2 linked regions of the Macaca mulatta genome follow. The protein of the gene in region 1 binds, or shares a complex with, the protein of each later gene. Links are inferred from orthologs where the notes say so. Each region holds a gene or a part of one and is shown in the gene's direction. Other genes may lie near its edges.

What was found.
Region 2: the proteins of SSTR5 (region 1) and CORT are in contact, whole or in part, in a cryo-EM structure (PDB 8X8L), measured with the Homo sapiens proteins. The link is inferred for Macaca mulatta from reciprocal best matches to the Homo sapiens genes SSTR5 and CORT. Residues at the interface, in NP_001044.1 of Homo sapiens: Tyr89, Leu96, Gln99, Asn100, Ser103, Asp119, Gln123, Glu182, Thr185, Cys186, Asn187, Ala188, Trp190, Gly198, Phe201, Ile202, Thr205, Phe264, Phe265, Asn268, Asn271, Glu279, Ala283, Tyr286, Phe287, Val290, Tyr294; in NP_001293.3 of Homo sapiens: Cys93, Arg94, Phe96, Phe97, Trp98, Lys99, Thr100, Phe101, Ser102, Ser103.

The regions. Positions count from the first base shown.
Region 1 is NC_133425.1:2,257,121-2,263,198, forward strand, and holds the start of SSTR5 (somatostatin receptor type 5), read left to right. Parts: upstream 1-2,230; 5' UTR 2,231-2,933; exon of another isoform or gene 2,934-3,773; intron 3,774-6,078.
Region 2 is NC_133406.1:230,285,634-230,291,639, reverse strand, and holds CORT (cortistatin), read left to right. Parts: upstream 1-2,801; 5' UTR 2,802-2,889; coding exon 2,890-2,988; intron 2,989-4,104; coding exon 4,105-4,323; 3' UTR 4,324-4,387; downstream 4,388-6,006. UniProt on the Homo sapiens protein: Binds to all human somatostatin receptor (SSTR) subtypes. It also inhibits cAMP production induced by forskolin through SSTRs.

The DNA.
Region 1 (6,078 bases):
GGGACCAACACTGATCACGCTTTCAGAGGCTGTGGCCCCACGTGTGTGGCTAAGAGGTGACTTGGGGCCGGCCGGGCCCAGAGCTGATCCCAGGCTAGGAACGGCCGCAGCAATCGTGTTGGCGTCCACCACGTCCCTCCCAGGGCCTGGCCGTGGGACCAAGGGGACGTGTCTGTGGCCTCTGTGGCCTGAGTGTGGAGGTCAGCACCCAGTGGTGTGACAGTCCTCGTGGGGCAGCGAGGTGACCGGGTCTCTGTTGGGTGCCCCTGGAAGGCTCAGAGGCAAGGATCTTCAGGCAGAGAGTTTGGGGGTGGCCCCAGGAAACACCCGTCATCGAGGGGGTGCTATGAAGTGAAAGGGTGGGTGCCAGTGGGCAGTAGTAAGCAGGTCACCGCTGTGGGCAGATGCACTCCGTCCCCCGGAGCCCCAGGCCGCAGCACTCTGGAGCTGTCCCTACCATAGGGAAGTGGCTGGGCTGTGGTGGCTGTGCCCCGGGGCATTGACTCCCCAGACTCCCGGCTGTTCCCACGCCCAGGCCAGGCCTCCTGTGGTCAGAGACGGCCAGAGTCACAGGGGTTGTAGGAAGTGGCCTCAGGCACGGTCAGGGGCAGGCAGCATCTGCTTCGAGGGCCTGCGCGTGGCTTCCCTGCCCTCGCCAGCCTCTGCCGTGTGGGTCCCGGGAAATTGGCGCTTGATTGCATGAGCGGCCCTGGGCTCCAGTGCATTGGATCCTGCAGCACCGCTGTGGCCGTGGGAGGTGCTGGGGGCAGGGCTGACCCTGGGGCCTAGCTGGTTCCTCCCCGCCTGATGCCAGAGAAGGGAAGTGCTGAGCGTGTGAGGGGGTCAGTAGGGGAAGGGGGTGCAATGGGGTGGCCAGGAGCAGAGACCCCACCCCCCGAAGCACACACACTGGCCGCGTCTGAGGGGAAAGGAGCCCAGGGAGGTGGACGGGGCGGGCAGGGGTTGCCTGTTGCTGGCCTGGACGCCTGGGGGGCATCGTGCTGTCCTTGGGGCTGGCAGACTTCGGACCCCCAAAGCTCACAGCGCCAAACGTGACCCCCCCACACCAGGCGGCGGCGGCTAGAACTGCGAGGGGAGGCAGCGGCTGCCCGGATGGGGAGGTGCTAGTCCTTTGACGAGGAGTTTGCACCTCATTCAAGTCCCCCACCTGGATCCCTGGTGAGGCATCTGGGGTCCAGCCTGGCAGGGGCCCCGGGTTTGCGTCTGTGGGGGTGTGGCCTCTGGGGGAGGACAGACCCTGGTGGGCACTGGTCACAGCTGAGCCGCCGTCAGGGCCACAGCCTTCACTTGCCTCAGGTCCCGGTTTCCGTACGTCACCCAGCGCCGTGTTTCTCCGCCAAGGCAGAGCCACGCCCCACCTGCGCATTCATGCTGACTTATTACCGACTCTTCTGAGTGAGAGGAATTCTCTCCAAATGCCCTTAGGCTTTCAGCTTCCAAATGAAATGAAATGGCTGATGAATCACTCAATCTCAATGTATTAGGAAAGATGTACCTATTTGCATCCGATGAGCAAAATGCACTTTTTTATTGATTTAAAAGTTGACTGAGGCGAACAAATCAGGGAAAATGGCTCCTTTTTCATTTCCCTCTGAGCAGCAAATTAAGCAACTTAAAAGAGCTTTGAATGAGTCAACAACAAAACGCCCCTAAATGTGGAAACGTGAAGGGCAAACATCTCAGCCTCGCTCTCGACGCTCACCGAGGACATAGCCTGCCTCCTGCCCTGGGAAGCTGGGGGCTGTGGAGGACCCCGGCCACGTGGACGTCCAGCCGCATCCCAAAGTCTCCAAGGGGAGAGGGGCCCCCAGCAAGCCTGTCTGGATTAGCCAAGATGAAGGGCTTCAGGAGTCATCAGAGATGGAACTGCCAGGCGCGATGGCTCAAGCCTGCCATCCTGACACTTTGGGAGGCCAAGGCGAGAGGATCACTTGAGCCCAAGAGTTCAAGGCCAGCCTGGGCCACACAGGGAGACCTCCATCTCTAAAAATATTTTTTAAAATTAGCCAGGTCTGATGGCACCTGTAGTCCCAGCTACTCGGGGGGCTGAGGTGGGAGGATCGCGTGAGCCCAGGCGTTAGAGGCTGCAGCAAGCCATGATCCTGCCACGGCATTCCAGCGACAGGTGAGAGAGATCCTGTCTAAAAAATACAACAACAGAGAGAAAGGGAGGGAGGAGCCTGCACGGGCTGAACTATTTTAGCGTCCTGGGGCTGCCGTAACGCAGGCTTACACCACCAGAAATTTATTCTCTCCCAGTTCCGGACGCCACAAGTCCAGAAACAAGGTGTGGGCAGCGCCCAGCACTCTCCCTCTGGAGGCCCTGGGAGGATCCTTCCCTCCCCTTCAAGCTCTGGGGGCTCCACACCCCTGCTGCGGCCGACGCTCCAGGCCCTGCCTCTGTCTTCACAGGGCCTGCTCTGTGCCTCTGCTCTGCTCTGCTCTGCTCTTCACGGAGGAACACCAGTGACAGACTTGGGACCCAGCCTCAATCCAGGGTAACCTCACCCCAAGATCCTTAATTACATCTGCAAAGCCCCTATTTCCAAGGAAAGTTGCATTCGGAGGTTCTGGGTGGACATGAATTTTGGGGGCAGGACACTGTCCGGCCCAGTGCCAAGAGCCGCTATGGGCCGGGCCCTTTGACTCTTGCAAGCCTACGACGGCCACAGAGCTGCAAGGAGGAGGGCTTCCTAGAGGAGGTGGCCCAGCTCGTCAGAAAACCAGCACGTCTTCCCCTTGGGTTCTGGGACCAGCGCTTTCAACGATAAATCCTTTGGGGCCAGGCTGATCCCAGCTGAGACCCTGCGGCGCGCCATGCCCGGCCTGGGGCGGAGGTGAGACAGGCCGCGCACCTCCAAGCTTTGACACGTCCTTCCTCCAAAGGGTGGAGGCTCCACAGGCCCCGCACGGTGAGTGCAGGTCGGGGGTGGGCCGTGGGGTTGCGGCCTGCAGTGTTCTCAGGAGGGCACGGGGCTGGGGGCAGCCGAGACGCGCTTCAGTGGTGAGTGGAGAAGCAGCTGGGGGTTTCCTCCGGCGCCAGAGAGAACTGGGTGATGAAGCCTGGGAGAGGCGTGGGGGGCCTGAAGCGCGCCCCGGTGCGAAGGCTGCGCGGTCGGATTCCAGCTTGGCGCCTGCAAAAGGCTGCGCTGCGCCGCCGGGGGAGGGAGGGTCGGAGGCTGCCGGGGGTTGGGGGATGAAGAGCGGGGGGCAGTTTAACGCAGCGAATCCACCGCGGAGGCAGGAACGGCAGGTGGTGCGATTCCCACCAGGACCTTTGCCATAGAAACCCCGGGTTTCTGAGGGGCTGGAGGCGCCGGAGACGTGTCCGCGGAATGGCGTGAACCTGCGGCCGCAGCGGCGGGTCCGGATGGAGATGGGCCGCCCGAGCGCACGCTGCACCGGCTGTTTCCTGCGCTTGGCTCCTGTAGCGGGGTCGGCCCTCGCCCCTGCATTTGGCGGACTTGATGCGGAGCCCGAGCGTGGCTGCTGGCCCGGGGCGGGGAAGGGCCCTCTAGATCGGGGGTCCCACGGCTGGGCTTGGGGGGCCCACTTGGCCTTCTCTGATTGGTCCGGAGTTGCAGGTGGGGCCGCCTCAGGAAGCTGCTGTACCTGCGGGAGCCCGGACGGTGCTGGGGGGACGCTGTGGTTTGACTTCTGGGGCTGGCGGCAGCACGGGTGGGTCGGGGTCTGTCTGGGTTGGGGTCCGCGGCCGCGTGGCGTCTGGCTTGGGGGTCCTCAGCCACATGCAATTTGGGTCAGGGTCGGGGTCTGCAGCTGCGTGGTGTCCGGCTCTCATGGCCCCCGTGTCTGGACTTCGCTCTCCAGCCATTTCCTCTGCATGTTTCCCTGGAACAGGACCTGGGAATCAGGGTGGTGGAGGTGGACACGCCCCAAAACCTGCCAGCCCTGGTCTGTGATGCCTGGATGGAGGGGCCACAGCCACGCTGGCTCCCAGCCTCTTCCCAGACACCCTGGCCCCTGGATGCAGCGTCCACCGTGGGGCGTGTGGTCCCTGAGCACCCCCCACACCCGCTCCGTGTGGCTCTGCATCCCTACCCAAACCTCGTGTGGAAATGGAGTCTGCAGTGTGGTGCTGGGGCCTGGTGGGGAGTGACTGGGTATCAGGGGGGGATTTCTCGTGAATGGCTTGGCCCCATCCCTCCTGGTGCTCTCCTCGAGGTGGTGAGTGGCCGTTTAAATGTGTCCGGCACTGCTCTGTCTCTGGTTCCTGCTCTTGCCATGTGAGACGCCTGCTCCGGCTTCTGCCTTCCAGCAGATTTGGAAGCTTCCTGGAGCCTCTCCAGAGACAGAAGCAGCTATGTTTTCCGTACAGCCCGCAAAGCCTGAGCCAATTAAACTCTTTTCTCTATAAATTACCCAGTCTCGGGTATTTTTTTTTTCGTGGGGGGTGGGAGTGGACAGCGTCTCGCTCTGTCGCCCAGGCTGGAGTGCAGTGGCGCGATCTCTGCTCAGTGCACCCTCTGCCTCCCGGGTTGAAGCGATTCTCCTGCCTCAGCCTCCCAAGTAGCTGGGATTACAGGCATCCGCCACCACACCTGCTAATTTTTATATTTTTAGTAGAGATGGGGTTTTACCATGTTGGCCAGGCTGGTCTTGAACTCCTGACTTCATGATCCTCCCTACCCCGGCTTCCCACAGTGCTGGGATCACAGGCGTCAGCCACCGCGCCTGGTCGCGGGTATTTTCCAGCAGTGCAAGGAGAGACCACCACACCTGGTGAACGCTCCTGACGGCAGTAACTGAGGTGCACCTGGGGGTGCCTCTGCGGCAGACACACCTGAAGGTGGTTGGGGTTCCCAGCGAGGGAATCTGGGAGGAGCCAACCGGAGACCCAAGTCCTCTCTATGAGGAACATCTGAACCCTGGCTGTCCTGTGGAACCCGGGCAATGCTGAGGATTGAGACCCTTTGTTTTGGGTTCAATGGAGGCTGTGGGTGGAGGTTGTTGAGGGAGGATGGAGGCTGTGGGTGGAGGTTGTTGGGGGAGGATGGAGGCTGTGGGTGGAGGTTGTGGGCGAGGGTGCTAAGTGAAAACGCTGTAGGATAGGCGTGCTTCTTGCAGTGGTTGTGGTTTTTGCAGTGGTTGTGGTTTTGTGGTGGTTGTGGTTTTTGCGGTAGTTGTGATTGTGGGTTTTGCAGTGGTTGTGGTTTTTGAGATGTTTGTGGTTTTGCAGTGGTTGTGATTGTGGTTTTTGCACTGATTGTAGTTCTCCTGCCCCGACTGCTGCCGCTGGACCCTCTCCCCCGTGTGTAGCCTCCGATAGGACCCCATGTCTGGATCCTGGCACTGGGTCTCCTCTGGCCTCATGAGACTGGTGCCGTCCCCACTGGAGCCGACAGGGGTTTGGCTCCTGGCTTCCTCCGTCTCTGGACGAGTCAGCAGCTGCTCCTGTGCAGGAACGCCCACGGCCTTTGGCATCACACGGGGTCTGGATCCTGGCTGTGACCCCTCCCCCAGTGACCTCCTGCGGGACTGATGGCCAGAGAGGGGGCCTGTCGGGCCTACAGCGCCCGTCCCACCATCAGCCACCCTGAGTTCTGGGCAGGAGTCCCCTCGCCTCGGTCCTACCCACCCAGAAGGATCCAGTGAGGCAACGCCCGCCTGGGATGCCGCAGAGGTCAAGCCCAGCACCGTGAGGCTTAGTGGCTGCTGGGAGCCATGGCAACCGGATGGTGGCTGGATGGACTCCGCAGGGACAGTCCTCAGACCCCTCTCCAGGGACCCCACCCTAGCTGTGACCTGTCCCACGGCACCTGTACTGTGACACCCTCTTTGCTGTCCATATGGCTATGAGGGCTGCCCTTTGCATGTCCATTCCCGAGTCCCAGCCCTACAGCAGCGATGGGCTCGCCTGGCCCCTCTGTGGACGCCGCCACTGTCTGTACGGTGGGATGTTAATAGTCTCCGCGTCATGTGGCTGTTAATTTTGGAAGCTCGCCCCCTTCCTCCTCCCCCACTACGGTCCTGCCTTCACACCCCACTGCCTGAGTCAGCGCCCACAGCTGTACCGGATGCTGGGTTTGGCCCCAGCTG
Region 2 (6,006 bases), on another chromosome or scaffold:
TCTTGGCTCACTGCAGCCTTGACCTCCTATGCTCAGATGATCCTCCTACCTCAGCCCCCCAAGTAGCTGGGACCACGGGTGTGCGTCTCCACGTCCAGCTAATTTCTGTAGAGATGGGGTTTTGCCATGTTGCCCAGGCTGGTCTTGAACTCCTGGGCTCAAGCAATCCTCCCGCCTCAGCCTCCCAAGTAGTCAGGACTACAGGTGTGCATTGCCATGCCTTGCTAAATTTTGTTTTTTGGTGGAGATGGGGTCTTGCTATGTTGCCCAGTCTGGTCTTGAACTCCTGGGCTTAAGTGATCCTCTCATCTCCACCTCCCAAAGTTTGCCACCTTCTTGAAACAGTCATCAGTTCTCATGACGTCTTCCCCAATTTGCAGCACATTCCCCTTCTTTGCACACTTCTTATCGCACTGAAAAATGTCCTTGTCTTTCATTTGTGTCCATGTATCCTATTTCTTTTAGGCTGCAACACCTCTGTCGGGGTGTGGGTGGCATGGGTCCCTTGTGGTATTGCAAGTTCCATGCTGGGTGCTCAGAATGTTTAATGAGCTCATGGAATAAAATTGGCACACTAGACTAACGATATAGGAAGTTGGTGAGGTCGGGTGTGGTGGCCTCATGCCTGTAATCCCAGCACTTTGGGAGGCTGAGATGGGTGGATCACTTGAGTTCAGAAGTTTGAGACCAGCATGGCCAACATGGTGAAATCTCTATTAAAAATACTAAAAATACAAAAATTAGCTGGGTGTGGTGGCTCGTGCCTGTAATCCCAGCTACTCAGGAGGCTGAGACAGGAGAATCCCTTGAACCTGGGAGGTGGAGGTTGCAGTGAGCTGAAGTTGTGCCACTGCACTCCAGCCTGGGTGACAGAGCGAGACTCTGTCTCAAAAACAAAAAGAAGCTGGCTGAACTGCTGTGAATGTCTCATCTGCAAGTATAACTCGATTTTTAGTGTCATTTATAGGAATTTTGGTACAGAAATAACAGATGAAGCAACATACGACATATAAGTCTCTGGCCAGCAGGCCATGCTGATCTTACCTAGGATTTTAACATAAGCAAAAAGACTGTGACAAATTCAAGATTGAGATTTCCCCCGTGAAGGTGTAAACCAGGACTCTGGAAAACTGAAAACAAATATGTTCACTTCTAGAAAGTGCCATCAGTTTTGGGTTGTGTTACTTCAATTTACAGCCTTGCTTTGGATGTTGGTCATCTCTAGTAGGTTTGGGTGGATGTTCCAGATTTTACTCGGTGTCCAGTTGGGTGAAGGGGTCTGTGCATTTGTCTGTGTGATTCAGCCATGAGGGCCTGTGCGGGAGAGCCAGCAGGTAGCACAGGGAGGGACTCCACGGTCTGCACTCTCAGCAGTGGCGCCAGCCTTGGGAGGACAGAGAGCCCTGGGAGGTGGCTGAGGGCAGGGCCGGGCATTGCTTCCCAAACTGTGACTGTGCCCTGCAGTAACAATACGTCTCACACCCGACACACACAATGTGAATCATTATTTATCCTCACTACGGGTGATGCACACTAATTTCAATTTCATTCTAAAGGAAAGTACTGGCCTGTGACCCACAAGCGGTGGTCAGGAGCAGTTTAGAAAACACTGGACCGGGCCGGGCGCGGTGGCTCACGCCTGTAATCCCAGCACTTTGGGAGGCCGAGGTGGGCGGATCACGAGGTCAGGAGATCGAGACCAGCCTGGCTAACGTGGTGAAACTCTGTCTCTACTAAAAATACAAAATTAGCTAGGCATGGTGGCACATGCCTGTAATCCCAGTTACTCAGGAGGCTGAGGCAGGAGAATCACTTGAACCCGAGAGGCAGAGGTTGCGGTGAGCCGAGATCACACCATTGCACTCCAGCCTGGGCAATAAGAGCGAGACTCCATCTCAAAAAAAAGAAAACACTGGATGATCAGGAGTTCGAGACCAGCCTGGCCAACATGGTGAAAACCTGTCCCTACTAAAAATACAAAAATTAGCCAGGCATGGTGGTGGGTGCCTGAAATCCCAGCTACTTGGGAGGCTGAGGCAGGAGAATCGCTTGAACCCAGGAGGCAGAGGATGCAGTGAGCTGGGTGTGCCATTGCACCCCAGGCCGAGTGGGCCAGAGCGCGGCTGCCCTGGGGCCAGCAGTACCTGGGTGCTTGTTGGAAATGCAGCTCTCAACTCCTCCCTGCCCCAGCGCATCAGGACCTGCCTGCAAAGCGATCGTCTGCACTTCAGTTTGAGAAGGCCTGGCCTAGAGGACGGTGGGTCTGGCCTGCTGGGCTGAGAGGCAGTACTGGGAGCGATTCTTGGGGCCTCCTTGCCAACAATTTGGTGAAACCAGCGGATACTATCGTAGCATCTCTGAGCTCCCACTGCCTCCTTGTTTCTCTGCCCGTAGTAGAAGAATGTCTTTGAAATTACTGGATGAGTTTCAGTCATACTTTCACATGGGCACAATTTCACATTCAAGCTCCTTATCCAAGGCTAATTTTATATTATGTTAAATCACTTGTTTTTGTTCTCACGGCTTCCTGCCTACTATAGGCATAATTACGAGGAAGCAGAACTTCTCCAGCAGCGAGCGCACATGCGTTCCAAAATAAGAGCAAATTCGCTCTAAACACAGGAAAAGACCTGAAGCTTTAATTAAGGAGTTAGAGCCAATCCTAAAGCGCTTTTGTGGGCACTGATTGCTCCAGCTTCTGCGTCACTGCGTGAGGGAAGAGGATCCAGGCGTTAGACATGTACAGACACAAAAAACAGCTGGAGATTGGGCTTAAAATACCCACCAAGCTCCAAAGAAGAGACCCACGTTCCCAAAACATTGATTTCAGGGCTGCCAGGAAGGAAGAGCAGCAGCAGGGTGTGAGAGAAGCTCCCGTCAGCCCACAAGATGCCGTTGCCCCCCGGCCTCCTGCTCCTGCTGCTCTCTGGGGCCACGGCCACCGCCGCCCTGCCCCTGGAGGGCAGCCCCACTGGCCCAGACAGCGAGGTGAGTACAGTCCCGACGTGGCCATACGCTAGCCCACTCTCTGTCTCTTGTTGGCTTTTTGGCCTGCATGGTGAGTGTGTGTGTGCACGTATGTTGCAGTTCACAGCTTGGACAGGACACAGGGCTGAGCTTTGTAGTGATCTTGGCTGGCTTGAGGTACTGGGATGTTACATTCAGATCACTGATCCTCAGTTACATGTCCCAACCCATGAAGCCTGCTGGAAACCTGTGCAGCTCAAGGAGGACCCTTCATGCCAGGGCTCCCTCCATCGGGTGTCTGGGAAAGGGGAAGCGAGTGTACCGGTCCACTGCAGGGCAGGCGTGGAGCTGCGACAGCCCTTCCAGAGCCTTCAGTTACACCCAGCGCAGGCTCCCACTGGCTCAGAGTAACTGGCATCATGACATTTTCCGTCGTGAGAATTTGTTACTTCATGAGGTGATTGATTGTTCTTTTTTCCATTTTGAGAAAGTTCCAAGAAAGAGTATATAAAGTTGAGCATTAAAAATGGATTTTTCTCTAAAATTATCAGATGAGTTTCAGGCAGGCCATTTATCAGCAGATTACTCCCAGAAGCTTTCTAAGGAATTTGAAAAACCAGAATTCAACGTTTCAGTCCCATCGTCTCAGAAAGCAACTTGTGGACATCCAGGAGTGTGGCCAAAGGTGGGAGAATGAATAAATTAGCCTGATCCACCTTGGGGCTTCTCAGCCGCCAGTCACTGGGGGGAAAATGGCAGATTTCCTGACGTCTCCTAATTAAGGACCTTAGCAAAGAGTGTGGAGCAAAACCACCAGGTTTTTTTCCTTGACTTAAAATGACCAACTTTTCCTGTTCTCTAATTAGAGCAATTTATTTAAGGCGTTCGTTCGCTTCACTTTCTCATCCTCATCCTTTAAGTGGAAACGAGGCTTATTGCTGTGGAGTATCTTTTCATTTTTTTCTTTTTATTTATTTATTTTTAATATTTTCTTTCTCTTTTCTCCAGGGTAGTCTTCTAGTAGATCTTTTTTTTTTTTTTTTTTTTTTTGTGAGGAGATTGCATATCTTCGAATGCCTGCTGCCTGAGCCAGATTGCTGAGTTTTCTTTCCTTTGCCATCTGCTTCTCTTTAAAAGCATATGCAGGAAGCGGCAGGAATAAGGAAAAGCAGCCTCCTGACTTTCCTCGCTTGGTGGTTTGAGTGGACCTCCCAGGCCAGTGCCGGGCCCCTCATAGGAGAGGAAGCCAGGGAGGTGGCCAGGCGGCAGGAAGGCGCACCCCCCCAGCAATCCGCACGCCGGGACAGAACGCCCTGCAAGAACTTCTTCTGGAAGACCTTCTCTTCCTGCAAATAAAACCTCACCCGTGATTACTCACGCAAGTGTAATGACAGACCTGAATAAAATGTATTAAGCAGCAGCGATCTTTCCTTTCCTCCTTCCCAAGTCACTTGAAAAGTGTTTTTTATTTAAATTCCAATAATGCCCAATACTGACATGTCTTAAGTAATTTGGAACCCAAAGTGAACATCTTTGATAAAGATTGTTTTGTGGTTTGACTGAACCATGCTAAGTGCAGGCACTGGGCTTTCCTTCTGACGTTCATTATGGTGCTGGGAAGCTCTGTCTTGGATTTAAAATAAAATAGTTAAAGGCTACATAATTAAGAGTTCAGAATAACATCTTATTTCAGTTTATGAATTGATATGAATTGTCTAATTTAAAAAATATTTCCCTAACATTAAAAGGAAATTTTTAACATCAGGCTCAAAAAGCAAAATGATTATTCCTCATGTTTTAGCTGAAATTAATTTTAAAACATTACACAGAAAACATGCTGACATGCCTGCGAAACTTACACTCGAACTTGCTGTTAGGTACCAGTTTTAATTAGTAGCTTAATGGGTTGCAATTCTTTTCATGGGTTATAGCTTCAGATTTGCTTTGGGAGGAATGAAGTCTACTCACAGAATGTTTTTTTTTTTTTTTTTTTTGAGACAGAGTCTAGCTGTCACCCAGGCTAGAGTGCAGCGGAATGATCTCAGCTCACTGCAACATCCGCCTCCCAGGTTCATGTGATTCTCCTGCCTCAGCTTTCCGAGTAGCTGGGACTACAGGATGCGCCACCATGCCTGGCTAATTTTTCTTTCTTTCTTTTTTTTTTTTTTGAGATGGAGTTTCGCTTTTGTTGCCCGTGGCGTGGTCTCAGCTCACTGCAACTTCCGCCTCCTGGGTTCAAGTGACTCTCCTGCCTCAGCCTCCCATGTAGCTGGGATTAGAGGCACACACCACCACGCCTGGCTAATATTTGTATTTTTATTTTATTTATTTATTTTGAGACAGAGTCTCACTCTGTTGCCAAGGCCAGAGTACAGTGGCACGATCTCGGCTCACTGCAGGCTCCGCCTCCTGGGTTCATGCCATTCTGCCTCAGTCCCAGCCTGTAGCTGGGACTACAGGCGCCCGCCACCATGCCCGGCTAATTTTTTGTATTTTTAGTAGAGACGGGTTTTCAGTTTTCACCGTGTTAGCCAGGATGGTCTCGATCTCCTGACCTCATGATCCGCGTAATTTTTGTTTTTTTTTTTTTTTTTTTTTTGAGACTGAGTCTCGCTGTGTCGCCCAGGCTGGAGTGCAGTGGTGCGATCTCGGCTCACTGCAAGCTCCACCTCCCGGGTTCACGCCATTCTCCTGCCTCAGCCTCCGAGTAGCTGGGACTACAGGCGCCCGCCACCTCGCCCGGCTAGTTTTTTGTATTTTTAGTAGAGACGGGGTTTCACCATGTTAGCCAGGATGGTCTCGGAGATCTCCTGACCTCGTGATCCACCCGCCTCGGCCTCCCAAAGTGCTGGGATTACAGGCTTGAGCCACCGCGCCTGGCCAATTTTTGTATTTTTAATAGAGACGGGGGTTTCTCCATGTTGGTCAGGCTGGTCTCGAACTCCTGACCTCAGGTGATCCACCTGCCTCGGCCTCCCAAAGTGCTGGGATTATAGGCATGAGCCACCACGCCTGGCTGTGAAGGTTTTTAGATGCTAA